Linked DNA regions of Tamandua tetradactyla. The protein of the gene in region 2 binds, or shares a complex with, the protein of the main gene of each other region. Links are inferred from orthologs where the notes say so. Each region holds a gene or a part of one and is shown on either strand. Other genes may lie near its edges. The genes, in order: PKN1 and AKAP13.

Evidence for each region.
Region 1: AKAP13 (region 2) and PKN1 share a complex: the UniProt entries of both Homo sapiens proteins name them as parts of the signaling complex. The link is inferred for Tamandua tetradactyla from reciprocal best matches to the Homo sapiens genes AKAP13 and PKN1.

Annotation. Positions count from the first base shown.
Region 1 is NC_135337.1:88,509,099-88,519,205, forward strand, and holds the start of PKN1 (serine/threonine-protein kinase N1), read right to left. Parts: upstream 3,815-10,107; 5' UTR 3,760-3,814; coding exon 3,721-3,759; intron 3,125-3,720; coding exon 2,821-3,124; intron 1,606-2,820; coding exon 1,454-1,605; intron 1-1,453. UniProt on the Homo sapiens protein: PKC-related serine/threonine-protein kinase involved in various processes such as regulation of the intermediate filaments of the actin cytoskeleton, cell migration, tumor cell invasion and transcription regulation.
Region 2 is NC_135338.1:93,201,899-93,211,508, reverse strand, and holds the start of AKAP13 (A-kinase anchor protein 13), read right to left. Parts: upstream 4,419-9,610; 5' UTR 4,087-4,418; exon of another isoform or gene 4,043-4,086; intron 3,854-4,042; coding exon of another isoform or gene 3,503-3,853; intron 1-3,502. UniProt on the Homo sapiens protein: Scaffold protein that plays an important role in assembling signaling complexes downstream of several types of G protein-coupled receptors.

The DNA.
Region 1 (10,107 bases), on a different chromosome or scaffold from region 2:
CATCTGACAGCAGGTAGCACATGCCATACTCCTTAAACATACAATACTCCTATATACATTTCCTACGAACAAGGCTAGTCACCCTAAGTGCACTCACCAAGTTCAAGAAATTTAACACTGATACAAAGTTTACGTTGCATATTCCAATTTTTCTTATGTCCCTAAAATGTCCTTTTGAGCCTTTTCTCCTCCATTTTCTTAGACTCCATCCAGTACCACATATTATTGCATTTGTCATTATCTCTCTGGTTTATCTTAGCGGGAACATACATGCAACATAAATCTCCATCCCATCCCCTCCCAGGCCTGCCATTCGGAGGGATTTATCACACGCCCGATGCTGCGGTACCCTCACCACTATCCATTACAGAACTTCCCCTCCGTCCAAGAAGAAACCTCACCTCGTTTTGCACAAACTCCCCGTTGCCTCTGCCCCCCACCCCTGCCAAGCTTGACTCCACTTTCTGTCTCTCTGAGCTTGCTTATTCTCTGATATTTTCTTTGTGGTTGCCTGGGACTGAAATTTAACATCCTAAATCTATAACATTCTAATCCATGTCACTTGCTTTGATATCTGTTTAACTTCCAGCTAGCATTGTGACAGAGCTTTCCCTGGATGCCAGGAGCTAACAAGAAGAGAAGAGGAGGCGGTGGAGGAGGAGGTGGTGGGATGAAGAGGAGGAAGAGACACCTATGCAGGTCTTTGCAGAGCGGCCTGGGGGATTGCTTCCATCGGGGGGTTACCCAGACGGTGAGCTCAGAGAGCAGCTCCGGGCCAAAGACAGGGGCCTCCCGGGTCCTTTCTGTGCATGCTCTTGTCTTAGGTCTAGAATCCGCCCATACACCTGGGCACGAACACCCCTTCTTCCCAAGGAAGCAGTGTCCTCAAGGCCCTGGCCACTGCCCTGGGCAATCCCTGCCCCTGGCAGCCACGTGATGGCTTTCCCTGGGGAGCTCTGGGAGCCCTTTGCATGGGCAGGACAAGCTCTGGGACAGCAAGTTCCTCAGGTCACCACCACAGAGCCTGGGCCAGACATCTGACACCAGTGTGTGCATGACGGCCACTGGGCTTCCTCTAGGACCCTGTCCAGGGCCCACCAAAGGGGCAAGATGAGAGGTGGGGGAGGGGCGATGGCCTGTGTTACGATGTGCCTTTTACCACAACGAAAAATCTCCGTGATGGTCCTTCTGACATCACCCCCCCGCCCCCCCAACACAAACACACTCCTCATATGCCCCTAGGAGCTACCTGCATCCCGATCCTGTCTCCAAGTATGCATACAGGTGTGTGTGTGTAGGAAGTATGTTAATAGGGGGCATGTGTGCACACACAGGTAAATGTGTACAGGTATATGTGTGCATGTAGGGTGAGTGCACACCTATGTATGGAATGTGTGTGTAAGATTGTACACGTACGTGTGGGTGGGTGCGTATGTGCATGCATGGCCCCCACCTTGGTGCTGCCGTTGCTGTACGTCTGGATCATGTTTTCGGCCCCCTGCTTCACCTTCAGCTCGATGGCCAGCTGCTTCTCCAGGCCAGCCACACGGCTCAGATTGGTGGCCGAGCAGGCCGAGCCACACGCTCCGGGGGACTGGGGTGCATCTGGAGGGGGCGGGAAAGAGCACGTCACTATGGCCCCCAGCACCAGCGGACAGGCCGGTAGGGGACACCCGGGCCCAGAAACTTCTAGCCACCCCCAGCCACCCCAGGAATATCCCCCCACCCCTCTTCAGTGGCATGACCCAACATAAGTGAGCACAGGCAGGTGGTGTAAGTTCCTGGACATTGGTGCAAGCATGTGTGGGAATCCCCAACTATTTATTCAGGTGTCTGAGTCCTTAGAGGTTAATGCAACTGAGTGTGAGTGACTGTGGGTGTGAGGAGGTCTGTGTGTCTCCCGCCTGCTATGTGTGTAACTGGGAGATGTCAGGTGATGGAACGATCGTGAGATGCCAGGTACTGAGGTGGCCCTATGCATACGTTTCCATTCATACAGCTACGAACTGGGACCCCTGGGTGCTGTGTGAGTCTGCGTGGGAATCTTTGGGTGTTGGTACAGCTGGGCATGTGTGTCTCTGGGTGCTGTCCAGGTGTTGGTGGGACTGTGAGAGAGTCTTCTGGCATTTTCTGGGTGTTGGTATTGACTGTGGGTGAGTCTCAGGGTATTGGTGTGACTGCAGATTGCAGTGTTTGCTATGACTGTATTAAAAGACTTGGTGTTGCCAAGACCACGTGTCCCTTTGGGGTCTTTGGAGCCAGTGTTGCCTGTCTGGGTGTTGATATGACTGCGTGTATGTAGCCAGTGGTGCATGTCTGCCTGTTGGTGCGACTGTGTGTATGTAGCCAGTGGTACATGTCTGGGAGTGGGTGTGACCACGTATATCTCTCTGGAGGTCAGCAGTCGATACTGTGTCTCTTGCTGTTGTGTGACTCTGTGGATAGCTGGGGGTGCATGGCTGCCTGTTGGTGGGACTGCATGTGTACAGCTGGGGGTGTGTGTCTGCCTGTTGGTGGGACTGCATATACAGCTGGGGGTGCGTGTCTGCCTGCTGGTGTGACTGCATGTGTACAGCTGGGGGTGCATGTCTGCCTGTTGGTGTGACTGTGTATACAGCTAGTGGTGCGTGTCTGCCTGTCGGTGCATATCTGCCTGTTGGTATGACTGCATATGCACAGCTGGGGGTGCATGTCTGCCTGTTGGTGTGACTGCATGTGTACAGTTGGTGGTGCATGTCTCTCAGCAGCTGGTACTGTACGCCCGGGCCCAGCGGTGGAGGTGGCATGCGTGCCCCACGCCCCCCGGGCCTCCTAGCTCACCATGGGCGGTGGCCACAGGGTCGGGCAGCACCACGTGGGCATGTAGCTCCTGCAGCTGCTGGTGCAGCAGCTCGAGGCGGCGTGATGAGCCACGCAGCAGCACCTCCACGGGCCCCAGGCTGCGGCCCAGGTCGGTGGTGGCGCGACGCAGGTTCTCCGCGCCTTCCTTCAGCTTCAGCTCCTTGCGTATCTCCCGCCGTAGCCGCTCCCGCTCTAGCTCCAGCTGCTGCTGCACCCCGGGGGCCGCCAGGTCCGCACCCGCCAGGCCCAGCTGCTCCAGCAGGGACCAGCTGCGCGGCTCACTCTGCAGGTGACAGGGCAGGGTCAGAGGAGCCAGGAAGGTTCCCCCCACATCAGGACTCCCAAAAACAAGAGCCTGACCTGCTCTTCAGAGACCCCAAAACTGGCAAGGCCCTGGCCCCCCAGACTAGAGGACCCCCCAGAGACAGCACTGCTTCCTTTTGTCTGTCCTTCAGGCAGTGGACTCCAGAGGGAGGCTCCAGCACCCCAGTGCTGAGCCCCCAAAGGAGCAGGGGCCTAGGGCAGGTCTATCTCCCCTCAGCTGTCTCCCCAAACTAGGAGACGCTAAGGGTAGGCCCTGTGCCCCCTCTCTGTCCCCCCAAAACTAGTAGGTGCTGAGAGCAGGCCCTGCTTCCCCCCCAGCTCCCCCGACCTCTACAATTAGGACCCTAAAGAACAGAGTAGATCTCCTTCCTCCCACGTCTCCCCACTGGGGGAGTCCCAAAGATCCCCAAATCTCTTCTTCCTCCAAAATGAAGACTCTGCAGCCCCCGTCTTATCTCCTCTCCTCTGTCCAAAACTTGGACGTATGGCGGCCAGAGCCCGTCTCCCACCCACCCAGTCCTGTCCCGCTAGTCCCCACAGGGACCCCAGCCCCACCTCCAGCTCTTGGTGGGAAGGGGGTTCAGCCTCCGCCATCCCGGGTCCGAGGTGAGGGCCCCGCCCTCTTCCTGAGCCTCCGCCCTGCCGGGGCCTCTCGCCCGCCACTTCCTCTTTCCTGCCAGCTCCCGGCAGCCCCCACGGCCAGCCCGGGCACCAGGGCATCTCGGGGACCTTCCTTATAACCCCTCCTCCAGGACAAGCCTGCTTCCCCGAGGCACCCTGGTGGGTATGCTCCCATGCCACTGGCATGTATGTGACAAATAGGCATCCGTGAGCATGCACATGCTCCCAAGGCTTGGGTGGCTGCCTGTTCTCACGTACCAGTAGACAAGTACACAAAACACAAGCTCACGCACGTGAACGCAGACTCACAAGTGCATGTACACTCTCCCATCTATGGGTGTGCACACGGAATACAGATTCACTTATGTGTGTACACTCCTGAATCTACAGGTGTGTGCAAGGAACGCAAACTCAGGCATGTGTGCACACTCTCACTTCCACAAGTGTGCACACTCCCACAGCTATAGATATGCATATGGGACAATGATTTCAGGTGTGTGCACATTCCCTCGCCCACGCATGTGTATACTTCTATGCATGTGCCTGAGAATATTTACATGCCCCCCCAAACTTTGTACAATACACGTTCCCACCTGCCCACGTGGGTGCCACACACACACTACACACACACACATACCCACACGCTCTCCGAGGCCCCCATGGCCTCCCCATGCTCCCACGGGCCTTCAGCTCTGCTGATACCTGCGTGTGTCCCTACAGCCAGATGCTTCTGCCCGCCCCTTGTCCCTGACTTCCCCTTTGGGGTCAGGACAGCGAGTGCTACAGAGACCAGGCCCCCTTCCTGCAGGCTGAGGCTGCCCTGACTTCCTGCTTCGTCCCCGACTGGCCCGCTGCTGCCAACCACAGCTGAAAGGCTGGTGGGACCGCCCTGAGGCTGACACAGAGAGAGGACAGCACTGGGGGGCTGGGGCACAGATCAGCCAAAACCAGCAACCCTCACAACGCCAGCTGGGCACATACCAACGGCCAAGCATGCCTATTTCTAATAGCAGTTACTAGAAACTTCTCCCAGATTAACTAACACCACCCCATGTTCCAGATAAGGAAACTGAGGCCTGGGGTGGGGGTGGGGGGTCATGTAACTTGCTCTAAGTTCCCACGGCCAGCAGGAGGCAGGGTTGGGAACCAAAACAGAAGTGGCCAGCACCCAAGCCCGGGTTGGGGGTCAGCATGGCACTAAGTGCCCCATGGACATCACCTCCGTCAGCTGGGGTCACTCACTTCACAGATGAGAAAAGCCGTCGCCATCTGCCCCTGACCAACTGCCACTATTCTCCCCATTAAACAGGCGAAGAAACAGGCGTGGAGGAGTTATAACAGAATTTTGAAATGAGCAGTGGAGGGGAATTTTATATCCACTGCTGGGGGCACTGGGCCATGTCTGGAGATCTTTTTGGTTATCACAACTGGGGGGAGGGGTTTGCTACTGGGACTTAGTGGGTTGAGGTCAGAGCGGCTGCTCACCATCCCATGATGCCCACGTCGGCCCCCCATGATGAAGAATGACCCGGCCCCAAAAGTCAGTGGTGCCCCAGCTGAGAAACCCTGCATTAATTATTCAGGAAAACAATTGGGTTCGGTCCCTAGCTCACACCACACATCAGAATCAGTTCCCCATGAGTGAGACAGCGTAAACCTCTGGGATTTACCTCCTCTGTCCCTTGCCACTCAGTTTGTGTATTTAAACGCATGCAGAATCACAGGACATCAGTAAGTCAGATAATTATGGGATGCAGGGTCTCGGGTATCAATGAGATCCCCTGATCCAGAGTAAATTGGGGTGATTCTGCTCCCAGGGAATATTTGGCAATGGGCAGAGACACTTTCGGTTGTCACACTGGGAGGAGAGGAGGTGGTCCTGGCATTCAGTGGGGGGAGACCAGGAAGGCTCCTCAACACCTTCAGTGCCCAGGATCCAGCTAAGGATGGGACACCATGGTGGAAAGAGTATCGATTTGGAAGCAGCTCCGAGCACTGTCTGGTGTCTATCTCTTCTGGTGACAGGACCGAGGCTCAGAGAGGCAAAGACATTGGCCCAGGGTACACAGTGAGCAAGTGGCAGCCTTGGGGTTTAAACCCAGGCTCCCCTCAAATATCCCCTCCCAAGCAGCTACCCCTATCCTAGACAGGCCGAGCAGGGGTGCAGCCAGGAGCAAGGCCAGCCCAGATGGGGAAGTCCAGCCTCCCTGGGCCCCACCTCCCGGCAGCGGATGCCTGAGAAAATGCAGAGCAGGCAGGGAGGGGGGCCCGGCCTCTCCGGTCCTCCTCCCCGGGTGACTCACTCCTACCCCAGGGTAAGGGGTCACCTGAGGCCCAGTGAGGAGAACCCAGGAATTCAGGGGGCCTAGGCCAGCCTCGGAGAATCCCTGCTTCCCAGAGCAGCCATGGGCCTAGACCCCCATGTCCAGAGATTTCAATGCCTTGGGCGTTTCCAGAATGTGGATAGGACATCCGTTTGCCGGACACAGAACAGACAGGCACATGTCGGGAAAGACAGAGGGACGGGGCAGCAGGCCCAAGATCCACGGGGAAGGGAGGAACAGGAGGGGAGCACAGGGCAGGCAAGGGATTGGAAGGGGGGACCAGGGCACGGGCCCAGCCTCATTCTGGGAGTCACAGCCTTGTCTGGGTCACGCATGGTACATGCCCAACGTATGCATGCACCTGGGGGACTCCTACACAGCCCCCCACCCTGGGCCGGGGGAGGAGGCAGGGACCCCGGCCCACCCCCTTCCCAGGTCTGACCTTGTGCGCTCTGCAACACCAGATACGCCCAGCTCCTCGGCAAGGCTGGCAGGCCATCAGCAGGACTGGGGGAGGGGGGCATGGTGGGTCACGGGGGAGACACAGAGGGGACAGGGGCAGGTGCAGAAGGAGACGAGAACCCGGTTACAATGAGACCACGGGACAAATGACCAGATGGTGGAATGCTGACAGCGGGCACCAGAGGCACAGGGCATGTCTGATTTGGGTCAAGCAATCCAAGAAAGGTCCAAGGCCACCTGCCCTGCTTGTCACTGATGGGGAGACTGAGTCCAAAGCAAGGAGGTCAGAGAGGCCAAGGCAGCGCCTGGATGGTGCCAGTCACAAGCAAGGGGGGTGGCATTTAATGGGGTACACCCCTGGCGCCCACAGGCAAGTAGGATTCCAGGTATGGTGGCAATTCCCCACCTGAACACCCCAGCCCAGCCCACTTGGGAGGGCAGAGAAGGTCCCACCTGCAGTCCCGAGAGTGGGCGTGGGGGGGGCCCCGACCCAATGAGGTGACTCGGGGACTTCCGCCAACAGGTGCTAATCGGGCTGGCGTCGGGGCCATCGTAAATGGTAAATGTCTTGTCGGGAGGCGGGGGCCTCTGGAGCTTTGCGATGCGGGGGAGGGGCCGGGCCAGCGGCCTCCTCCCCTCCCCGGGCCCCGCGCCAGGCACCTGTCCCAGGAGGAGCGGCACCTGCCGGGAGCCGCGTGCCGGGGAGTGGGGGGTGGACAGTGGATGCAGGGTGGGTGACAGGCACCGGGACGCGCAGACCAGCCCCTGACACCCCACGTCGCGCCGCCGCCGCGCCCCCCTCCAGTTCTCGGGGAGGGCCCGGGCTCCGAGGCGCGGCGGGGGCTGCCCGGCCCTCCCCGCACGCCCCCCTCGGGTCCGTACCTCCACCTGTCGAGATGGGGGGCCGGGCTGGCTCCGCGGCTCCCGGCCCGGGAGGGGGCGCCGGGCGCTCGGGAGGCCCCCGCTTGCCCCGCCCCGGCGTGGGGGGTCCCGCCAGCGCGCGGCCCCCGCGGCGTGGGACGCAGGTGCGCCTACCTGCACGGCGTCGCTGGCCATGTCCTCGCGCCGCCCGCCGGGGGTCCCCGCGCGGAGGGAGGAGCCGGGAGAGGAGCGCGCGTGCGCCCCGGGCGGGGCGGCGGGGGCGGGGGGAGGGGGAGGGGGGCGCGCGGCCCGCTCCGACCTGCTCGGCTCCGGCCCCGCCTGGCCCGGCCGCCGCGTCCGCGCGCCGCGCCCTCCGGCCCCAGCGGCCGCCGGGGCCCGCTCACGTGACCGCGAGGTCGGCGCCCGGGGAGGGGGCGGGGCGAGGCGAGGGGGCGCGGCTCCCGGCGGCCCCTGGGGCGGCGGGGTCCCGCCTGCCGGGCGCGCCCCCCTCCCTGCCGGACGGCCTCGCGTCCGCCCCCCACCCCTCCCGCCCCGCGCGCTGGCCTCTTTCTTCGTCCCCCCCCTCCGCCCCGCCCCAAGGAAAGAAGGAGCCACGTTAAAGCGGGGAGGGGCGCAGGGCTTTGGGCGCCCCCGGGGCACCCCGACCCTCCTCCGATGGCGAAGTCAGGCCTCCTGAACCCAGGATTAGACGCGCTGGCTTCCAGGGCACGGGAGCGTCCCCGTCGTCTGGGGACGGGGCTGGTTTCCAGTCCCGAGGCCCCAGGCCTTGGCGGACGCCACGAGCCCCTAAGAGCGCCTCCAGGGGGAGACGGGAAGGAGGGACCCACCCCTCGAGGGTTGGAGACATTAAACCCCAGAGTGGACAGCGAAGTGCTGACAGCGGTGCCGCGCGCACAGCCAGCGCTCAGTACATGTGAGCTGCCGTCGTTTTTTTATGTCACGGTCGTTGTCACTCTTTAAAAGGGGTGGGAATCCCAACTCGGCCGCTGACCTGCAGCGGGCCCTGTGGATCCCCGGGCAGCGCCGAGCCTCAGTTTCCCCGCTGCAAAATGGGGGGCAGTCTCTTCTTCGGGAGCTGCTGCATCTAGGGGGCGCTCCATAAATGCGGCGGAGGCAGGACGGAAACTTCTCTCGCGCGGCCCGGTCTCCCGAGAGTGCAGCAAGCTGGGCTCGCGGCGGCCTCCGGACCCCCTCAATCCCTTGGAAACCCGGTGATAGAGTCAAACGGCCGTCCCCCGGGCTCCGAGCCTGGAGAGCTCCCTGGAGGCGGTGCCTGCGCGTGCTGCGACCTCCCGGGACCAGCCGCAACGCTCAGGGCTGCGGGCGCCTCGGTTACACGTGGCTCGGCTCGGCTTGCGTGGTCCCAGAAACCCAGGCGCAGGGTTTGCTCCTTCGGGCCACTCTCCGGGGATTTAAACAGAGGGAGGAAGGGAAGGAGGAGGCGAGTGAGACCCAGCCAGGAGCTGTCCATTCCTCTCCCCTTCCACCGCCCCCACCTGGCCATTCGCTCACCTGGACCAGAGCAGTCGCCGCCTCCCAGTTCTCTGCGCTCCGCGGCTGCTCCCTGTTTCTCCCCACAGAGACCAGAGAGCCTGCGCAGGGACATCTGAGTCAGGTCAGGCCCCCTCCTCTGCCCAGAACCCTCCATAGCTCCCACCTCCCCCGGAGCAAAAGTTAAGTCCTTCCAGCCGCCGTCACCTCCCTGACCCTCTGGCTTCCCCTCTCGCTCACCCTGCTCCAGCCACGGTGGCCTCCTCCTTTTGTTGATTGAATTAAAACCCTAACAGCTTGTCTTTTGCTCCCAATTTGCAGAGGAAAAAAAGCCCAAAGAGAAGCCTCTCGCCTGGATAACAGTGCCGGGCTGATTGCCGTCTATGACCAGAAGGACGTGACTTCTCTCTCTAAGTTTTCAGGTGACCCATTTCACAGATGGGGAGCATGAGGCAGACTGAGCCCTTTTAGCTGGGACTCTGGGACTGGGCTGGCAGGAACGGACTTTTCCAGGGATGGGCCTCTCCCGCCTGCCAGCTTCCAGGCGGCCTCCGCAGATGCAGCTGGGGAGCCTTGCCAGATTCTCACTCTAACCTCCCGGTGTTCATTTACTCAGTGAACATTTATCGGTGCCCCCTGGGGGCTTTGCTGGTGCTGGAAATGGAACAGCACTGTGGGTGTAAAAACAGGGAGATGGACGACTAACATACAACCTCGACAATATACAAGAACTGTGCTCTCCCCTCTACCATTTGCTCTGGGGCCTTGGAAAGCTTAAATCACACCCCATCTCTCCTCCCTGCTGGGAAACCCTCCCCTGGCTCCACAGTGCTTTAGGAAAAACTCATCTCTTACCTGGCCTGTAAAGCTGGTCCTGGACCAGCCTCTGCCCACCTGTCTGGCCTCCCCCTTTCCCACCCTCCTCACCCCTCTTCTGCCACACTAATCTGCCTGCCTTCTTTTTATTTTTAAATATTTTTTTATTGAGCTATCTTCATGAACCACACAGTTCATCCAAAATATATAATCAATGGCTCACAATTATCATCACATATTGTGTATTCATCATTATGATCATTTTTAGAATGTTGCATCACTCCAGAAAAAGAAATAAAAAGAAAAAAAAATACATCCCCATACCCTTTACCCCTCCCTCTCATTG
Region 2 (9,610 bases):
CAATGTGGCATAGTTACTTAATTCCTAACCATTCAGGAATAAAGGCTATTTTGGATAATGGAGGCTATTTATAAGGCCAAGTATGGACTTATAATCCTAAGTGAAAATTAACAAAGAATTGACATCCAATAGAAGAGCCCACAGAATGACATAAATGGTAAATCACTCACATCTTTTCCTTTTTCCCCAACCCAATCCCCATACCCATACACACACACAAGCACACACTGTTATCTGCCTCCCCCAGGTTCAGAAGCCAGCTATGAATATGTAAAATGGTAAAGCACACCACTGTTCCACTCAATTATTCATATAATCACAGTATCTCACAGCACAAGGTCTGCTGGTCCATCCTCCCAACAAGAATGGGTTGTCTATTCATCTGTTATCATGGACTGTCTATTCATCTTCTACTCATGTCTCAATCAACCTATAGGTGAACTAGAAGACTATAAATCTGAGGACACATGAAGGAAATAACCTTCCTCTCACTAATAGCTTCCTGCTCTCTCCCCACTGTCAGCATTACGACTGCCTGACCAGGGAACACAGCTTTCAAAGGAACGCCTGACCCAACAGACAACCAAGCCCATTCAAGTGCACTTAAATGTAAACTTTAAAAGAGAGGGGCATCAAAAGCCCACATTTGCACATCTAGCTTTGTCGGGGATGTTTTTAACTCCTATCTGTGAGTCTGGTCAAATATAATCGATAAAAGGTTACTATAATCCTTAGGTGCTAATGTTTACCCTGATTTTATAAGAAAAATAATGGAAACATCAAATTCAATATATCTTTTACAGGTAAACAATTCTAGAATGCATCTATTCCACTATGTAATTTAGTAAGTATTCTAAACTGAGCTGGTATAACTGATTTCTATCAGTGCATTCTTCGGTAGATGGGGACATCTTCAAATAGGGGAAGTGAGTGATTTGTTCAGGTTTCTTAATTGTACAAACACTGTGCTAACACCCAGTCCAGTTCTACCGTAAGCCTGAGAAATGGAGTCATAATCCATACTTATTTTTTAAAACTAAGGCAAAATGAAGAAGGAAAGCTGCAACTTAAGTAACTCAGATAACCTATTAAAAGTGTTGAAAACAATCCATCAATCCCTCACCATTTTTCAAAACTATAGACCCAGAGAGTTCTCTTCTACCAAGCCGCTCCAAAACCCCATTCAAAGGAAGACTGACAGGTGGCTGAGAAGGTGAAACCACAATTGTTTCTATTCACTTTCAGTTCAATGAGTGTCTTTAAAAAAAAAAGTTGCAATTAGATTAAGAATTATATTTCTCACGAAGATTCTTTTTTTATAAATCGCAAAATTACTATATTCAGAAGCATCTGATTTTTAAGAACACTTATGGAATCATATAAAAAATGTATCAAAATTATCATCACAGCTACCAGGTAAGGGATACCTACTAAATGCTAAGCACAATACTACATACCTCACATCGTTTCATTTACTCCTAAAAACCTTATAAAGTATGTTACTACCCCTTAGCGAGTAGAAAACTGAGGCTCCAAGGGATTAAGCAATGCACTCAAGGCTATATAACTGGTCAACAGAAGTGTGAAGACCAAAATCTACCTCCTACCAAAGAGTGCACCTTCCTCTAAATTGTGTTCCTTACCCCATTTCACATAGCAAATACAGGCAGTGATGTGAGTGGATTGGTCCAGCAGTCGTAGTAATTTCACGGAAGAAAAAAAAAAGAAAAGATCTAAATCAGAATCACCTTTCAAATCCATAGCACACTATTTAAACCCTGTATTTTTTTTTTTCCAAGAAGTAATGAACAGATTAAAAAAGAAGAAAGGACAGAGCTTCTTTTAAAGGAAACTAAATATCTTCACAGGTCTACAAGTGAAGTGTCATTTTGGACAAGTCCCCAGAATTAGTGGTTGTCTCCCAAATACACTTAAGGCACATGTGCATTTTGCCACTAGCTAGTAAAAAGGACCTCCCCCAATTCAAACACATATTGAACACCTTCTGTGTTGCCTGCTGGTAGACATATAAAGCTAAATAAGGCCCATCACTTACCCTGAAGAAGCCATTAGACTAGAGCAGGGGTCCCTCTATACACATGTACAGCTACTATTTAGGCAAACAAATGAAGTGTGAGAAAATCCTAAAAGAAAAGTAGATGCAACATACTATAAGAGCCCAGAGGATGGAAGCAACTAACAGCTTGGCCTTCAGGTGACTCAGAAACAGTATTTGTTTACCTTATGCCCCTCCCTGACAACCTCTTCCAACTTCTGCCTTCTCATTGGCTGCATCCTCTGTGCTACCCGCCTACACACACACACACACACACACACACACACACACACACACACACACACACACACACACACACACAGCACAAAGAAAGCCTTAAGAACAAGGATGTGACTCCTAAAAGTGATTTTGCAGTTGTAATCTAAAGAACTGTGCTACCATCATTGCTAATGCAGTACTACCATCATTGTTAATGTAGTAACACTAAACTGTATACTTGAAAGTGGTTAACTGGGAAATATTACGATGTATGTGTTACCACAATAACTGTTTTAAGCACAATGCTAATTCTTAAAGAAATTTTGCTCCAGCTTCATCAAGTGAATAAAGCTGGTTTCCAATGCAAAACGAGGTCAAACCAGAAAGACCCAGGAGCACTTTCCTAATTTGAGAAAATTCAGCAGCCAAAGCAAACTGATATTTCTGAAAATTTTAATTTAGCACCTGGCAAAAGGATATATAACTGAAATTAATACATTCTGGTCATTTTGTTCCACTATGAATTGATAGATATTTAAACTAGTTCCATCTGGGAAATTTAAACAAAATTTTTCTCACATCATAAGCCAGATGAAATTAATTCAGGGGAATAAGTGCACCCAAAACTTGACAACAAGGCTAGAACTTAATGCAGTCTGCAAATCCCCAAGAGACCATGAAGGAATACTAGCACAGTAACACTGATTTCTCTCAACTGATCATAACTCTCTTACAAACTCGCAAAAAAAAAAAAGAACTTTCAAGAATTGCAGCATCGTCCCTGATCTGGCGAGCCAATGGTTTAGAAACACTGAATAAGCTGCTGCTTCTGAAAATAAAAGGCAGCAGGGAGGAGGTGGCTAAGAAAAAGCATTTATAGTTTAATTCTCTATGCCTGAGGCAATAAACTCTCAAAATAACTTTACTAAGTGCAAAAGTTAAGAATGAACATCAAAGTACTGCTCAATCCAGCTTCCACCATGAACCCCCGAACAGTCAGATCTAGAAATTTCTACGTGATGGAATCACTCCACTGTAAGAACTACTTCCCCCCTCCAAAAAAAAAATCTATCATTTCTTCTAAGGAAGAAAGCTGTTTGAGGATTTCCCTTTTTTTTTTTTTTTTTACTGTTGGCTTCGCAAAAAAGAAAAAAAGTGTCAGTGGGCCATATTTACAAAAATATGCTTAGTTTGGTTGCAAAATATGGCTGCACTTGAACTCGGTAGAAGTTGAGCCAGTCGGACGGTTCCCGCGGCGAGTTTCGCCCACGCGCGTCCCCTCCAGGCGCCCGTGTCCCGGCTGCGCCCCCGGGAGAACGCGTGCGGGGGGCCAGCGCCCCACGAGCTGACCCTCCGCGGTCGCCTCGCGGAGTCGCGTCCGAAACACTTGTCGGCGTGAGGAGTCGCGAGGCCGACAGAACCCGAGGCACCGGCGCGCCCCCGGGGCCCCCCCGCCGCTGCCCGCCCCAGGAGGGGGAAAGCCCGGGGCGAGGGCGGGGCGCAGGCCTTAGCGACCCGGCGGCATGGCCGCGCCCCCCAAGCGCGGAGCGGCGGCGGTCCCGACGGGCGGCTGCCTGAGAAGGCGCAACTCGGCCCGGAGCAGACAATGCCGGAGCAGCGCGGACGCCGCGCGCGGAGAGGTCCGCGGAGGCGGGCAGGCAGCCCGCGCACCCCGCGCCGCCCGACCCTCCCCCCGACCCCCGCCCCGACCCAGCGGCCCAGGGGGAGGGACCCCCGCTCCGCGCCCCCCGACCACCCCACACTCACATCACACAACTTCCCCAACTCCGCCAACTAAGTTGCGCTCTCACCGCGCGGCGCCCGGGGCTCTCCCACGGGCCGAGCCGGACAGCTCCACACCTTCGCCTCAGAGAAACACAACAGGCGGCTGCTCCCCCCGCTGCGACGGTGGTTGAAGCGGCACGAGCCGAGGAGAGGAGCGGACACGGCGGTCTCGAAGAGCCCAAGTACTTCACCGTAGCTGCTCCTGCTCTGCGTTGGTCCCGCACACAGCCTCAGCCCTCCTGCGCATGCGCCGCGAGCCACTCCAGGGTAGGAGGGGTCCCTGAGGAGGGCGGTAACTCCTCCAAGCCCTCCCGTGAATAAGCACCGAGCCCAGGGCCCCGAGCTAGGATTGCACGTCAGAGCTGCCCATCAAGATCCCTGAGACCAATAGGAAGTTACCTGGGCGGTGTGCTTGTTGCTAGGGGAGACTCAGGTTGACCGCGGCTGCTGGGCCGCAGCAAAGTGATCAAAGTGGAGTGGCTGCAGCGGCTGCTCTGGGAAATGCCCACCCACCCGGTCCCTGGAAATCCTCTCCGCCCTGTCTCCGGAAACCGCTCTTCCTGTGTGTGCCTGATGCTTACCTGAGCTGTAGGCACCTCCCACACATATAGATATGATTTACTCTTCTATTTTCCCCCTCTTGAAATCAGGAAGTGCTGTGTAGTCTTCTATGTGTCACCAGCGCTTAGGCGAATCGTTACTAAGTATGCAGCAAGTGTTAGTTGGATGGATGGATGGACAGACGGACGGACAGATGGAGCTATGGTGGGATCAGGATTGGAACAGTGCATTCCGGGAACTTTTGGCAACTCGATCACCACAAAATCATAGCCTTTGGGTCGGAAAGGACCTCAAATTATCTAGTGCTTTTGAGAAACAAAATGTGGTCACTCTACCAGTGGTGGCCCAGGAAAAAATATTAGTTGGTACACGAAGAAACTTCTGTATTTAGCTAATGTGTTTATTTCATTTGTATTAAGGAAAAACTATGCCTAACAGTCAAATCATTAGATCGAGTGAGAACATTGTAAAAAAAAAAAAAAAAAGTGAAAGAAAAATATTAACACAAAAGTATAGAAAAATATTAAATAAAAATATTATGTAAAAAAATGGAGGCACTTTATATGAAACTGATAGTGATTCACTGAAGAACAGTGGCTCCGTAGGGAAAAGGGTCCCCTACTGGCTGGGAAGAAGCAGGAGGGACCCCTGTGTGGTGCTGGAAATGTTCTATATCTTGATCTGGATGGTGATAATGCAAGTATATTCATAAGTAAAAATTCATCCAGTTGAGCACTTAAGATTAGTCCACTTTACAAACTTTACACATGTATTTTATACCACAGTTTTAAGAATACACTGGTTCAGCCCCAACCAAAACCATTCCTGCCGATCCTAAAGAACACCGAGGGCTTCACTGGAGAATCTACAACGGTTCCATGCACTAGGGTAACTTTCCAGAAACCTACAACCTCCAGATGGGTCCGTGAACCAGATAAGTCCTGAAATGCAGAGGGACCAGCCTCTCCAGCACATCAGCTAGTTCCATCTCCCTATCCCCTGTTATCAACAGCCTCTTCCAACATGAAAAGCTAGAATAGGGAAAGCCCAAATACCCCTAAACAGTGGGAGAAAGTTCAAAGGTGATGGTGGAATTATAACAGAGAAGGTAGAGTTTAACAAATGAATATGATTGCTGAATCATTATATTGATATTTCTTTTAGTCTCCAGTATCTCAGAGCAGTTAGAAGTAAAAACCTAAAATTGTGGAACTGTAACCCATACCAAACTGTGAAATCTGATCTAACTAAATTGTTGTGATATGTTTTGAAATTTATTGCTTTTTGGTATGCTATTTTTCACAAAAAAGAAAAAAAAAGTTGATTGTGATGATGAAAAAAGTGAAATTATTTCTATTATAAACATATCTAATTGTTGTAGAACTGTGACTATTCAGCCATTTAAAAAGCCTGGGTTTTAAATCTCCAAAAAAAAGAATATATTGGTTCAGGATATGGCAAATTAGACAGATAGATAGATAGACAGATGCAAATGACTGCATTTTGGGAAACCAGGGTTGGGGTAACTTCTCTACCAGAGACCAAATACCTGAGAAAGGGTCATATAACTACTTCCTAATCTGTGTTGGATACTTCCATTGTTAGATGGCACTAAATCTTAGACACAGCACTAAATCTTAGACACGCCCCTAAGGCTGAGTGGAAATCTGCTTCCCCCTAAGTAGACCTGGTTCTTACCTCTGTGTTCTTAGTTCATCCTCACAGAATGATAAAAACCAAGGCTGAACACCCCCAGTTCCTTTATCTATTCTTCGTGTGAAATTGTTTCTGGACCCCACACTGTGCTCAGTCTTTAAAAGGTGGCTCAGAAGGAAGATACCCCTGGATTCTGGTCTTGACTCTGCCACCAAGAAGTTAACAGTAGCAGGTCATTCCTCCTACCAGAATCTCAGTCTCCTATAAAGCAAAGGGCCTAAGAAAATCACTTAGACCCTAACATCTAATAATTCCATGGCCTTCTGTTAGAGCCTGGGCAGTCTGTTATAGAGGCAGGAGCAAATGTGAACATGTCATCTTTCTAGTGACCACAGACAACACCATTCCCTGAGCCCCTGCCCCCATCTTGGCAGAATTTATACCTTCTCGTTGGGCTACAGAAAACCCAGCACTTTTTGAAGTTCACTGTGCCTACGAATTACTTGGGAGGGCTTGTTTAAATGTGGATTTGACTTGGTGGGTCTGGGGTGGTGTTTTAGTTTGCTAATGCTGCCAGAATGCTATATACCAGAAATGGATCAGCTTTTATAAAGGTAATTTATTAAGTTACAAGTTTAAGACCATAAAAATGTCCAAACTAAGGCATCCAGAGAAAGATACCTTGACTCAAGAAAGGCTGATAGCGTCTGGAACACCTCTGTTAGCTGGGAAGGCACAGGGCTGGCATCTGCTGGTCCTTTGGATTCTGGTTTCAAACAGCTTTTCCAGGTACATTTTCTTTCTGCATCTCCAAACATCTCTGTCTGGGTCAGCTTTGAGCTTTTTCCAAAATGGTTCCGTCTAAAAGGACTTCAGTAAATGCATTAAGACCCACCTTGACTGGGTGAAGACACATCTCCATGGAATCTACCTAATCAAAAGGCTCCACCCACAATTGGGTGGGTCACATCTCTACAGAAAAAAACTTAATCAAAAAGATCCCACCCAAACAATAACTCTGCCTCCACAAGATCGAACTAGGAAAAAGAACATTGCTTTTCTGAGGTACACAAAAGCCTCAAACCAGCACAGGTGGGATCTGGGGATTCTATAGTTCTAGCAGGCTCTTAGATGATACTGACACTGTCTGGGACCCCATTTTGAGAACTGAGGGTCTACTCTAAGTTTCCCAGACAGCAGAGCCTCAGCTCAAATGTCCCTCCTCAGAGAAACCTTCCTTGACCAGCCAGTCCTAATCCCTCTTGTTCCTATTACTTCAATTTTTTCATAGCATTTATCCCAATCAGAAAGTACCTTATTTATTTTGTCTGTGTTTATTGACTATTTCCCCCACCATAATGTAAGCTCCCTGAAGCCTGTTTTGCTTGCCTCTCCCACTCCCCTGCACCTATAACAGTGTCTGCTGCACAACAGGGCCTCCATAAAAGCTTTGCAAGAAGGAACGTGTGCAGAAGGCCACTGAGGCGCCCTCAAACTGAGTGTTCCTAATACTAAAGATTTGTTCTCCAGAAAGTCACCCATATCTCTATACAATGTGCCCCATTTTACCAGAAAAAAATCTCAGGTTGAACAATTTTCTCACTTTCCCAGAGTGAACTTACAAGCCAGGAAAGATGCCAGGACTTTATCAAGCAATGGCAGGAATTTGTAACTCTGAATTACCACTCTAGTTGACATGTCTCTCCATGTCGACTAGACATGCATTCTGTAAAATATAAAAGGATAAAAATGTAGCAAGGATATAACCCCATTTTACAGCAATCCCTGGCAATGTGAAGACAGAGAAAAAACAAAATGAATACACTTGTAAGAATACACATTTCCCTTGAAACTCATGGTTCTTGAAAGTCCCAGTGCCTCTTCTTTCACAGCAGTGGACATTTCGTTGCTTTTGTGGTAGACATACTGCCCCGATGTCACTTTGAGGGAACTTTTGCCTCCAGGGCCTCGCTTAGCATGAAGTCAACTCCACCATAATTCCATGGCCTCAGCACGCAATCCAGTCCTGTGCCAATCAATGTATTCTATCCATAAGAAATGGTAATTAGTTCAGACTTGGGCACATGACCCCAAACCGGCCAGTCAGGGGCAACAGGAATAGATTCTACCCTCTGTTTGAGCTATCAGGGAAGCAGACCTAGTCTTTCTCAACTGGAACTTCAAAGGATATGCTTGTCATCCCTCTTGTCACCATGAGAAAAGAACCTTCCTGAAAGAATGGAGCCAGCACAGTGGAAAGGTGAGCAAGAGGAAGACAAACATCTTGGTGACATTTTTGATTGCTAAATCCAGACACACCTGAAGCTAGAACAACATGGTGACTTTCAATCATGTAAATCAATAAAGCTTGTCAGAGTGCAGGTATCTATCACTTGTAGCCACTAGATCCTAATTGATACACTATCTGTGCTGGTTTGAAACTGTTATGTACCCCAGAAAAGCCATGTTCTTCTAATCCATGCTTGTTCATGCAGACCTATTGTTGGATGGGCTCTTTTGATTAGGTGGTTTCCATGGAGATGTGACCCACCCAGTTCATGGTGAGTCTTAATCCTTTACTGGAGTCAAATTTTGAGAGGACACAGAGTACAGAGCTCAGAGACATTAAGGAAGAGAAAAGAAACACCCAGAGACTTGTTTTTTTTCTCACGCAGAGACTTGGAGACAGAGACAGAAATGTCCTGGGAGAAACAAGCAAGGACCTGCAGAAGCCCAGAGACATTTTGGAGGAAGGACCAGCAGACGTGGCCATGTGCCTTCACATGTGACAGAGGAACCCTGGATGCCATTGGGCTTTCTTCAGAGTCAAGATAGCTTCCTCTTGAGGCCTTAATTTGGACATTTTCATGGTCTTAGAACTGTAAATTTGTAAACTAATAAAGCCCCTTTGTAAAAGCCAACCCATTTATGGTATATTGCATTCTAGCAGCTTTAGCAAACTGAAATACCATCCATGAGCTGACGATTCCCCATCAGTGCTCTTGTCTGTTTCTCAATTCATTCAGCAAATATCTATTAAAAGTTTATTGTGTGCCAGTGTTCCAGTTTGCTAGCTGCTGGAATGCAATATACCAGAAACAGAATGGCTTTTAAAAGGGGAATTTATTAAGTTGCAAGTTTACAGTTCTAAGACTGTGAAAAATGTCAAATTAAAGCAAGGCTATAGAAATGTCCAATTTAGGGCATCCAGGGAAAGACACCTTGGTTCAAGAATGAGTCCAATGACGTTCTTGAACTCTAAAAAATTCAACTGGAAAGGCACATAGTGGACATGTCCTTGTGTGCTAGCTTTCTCTCTAGGCTTCTTGTTTC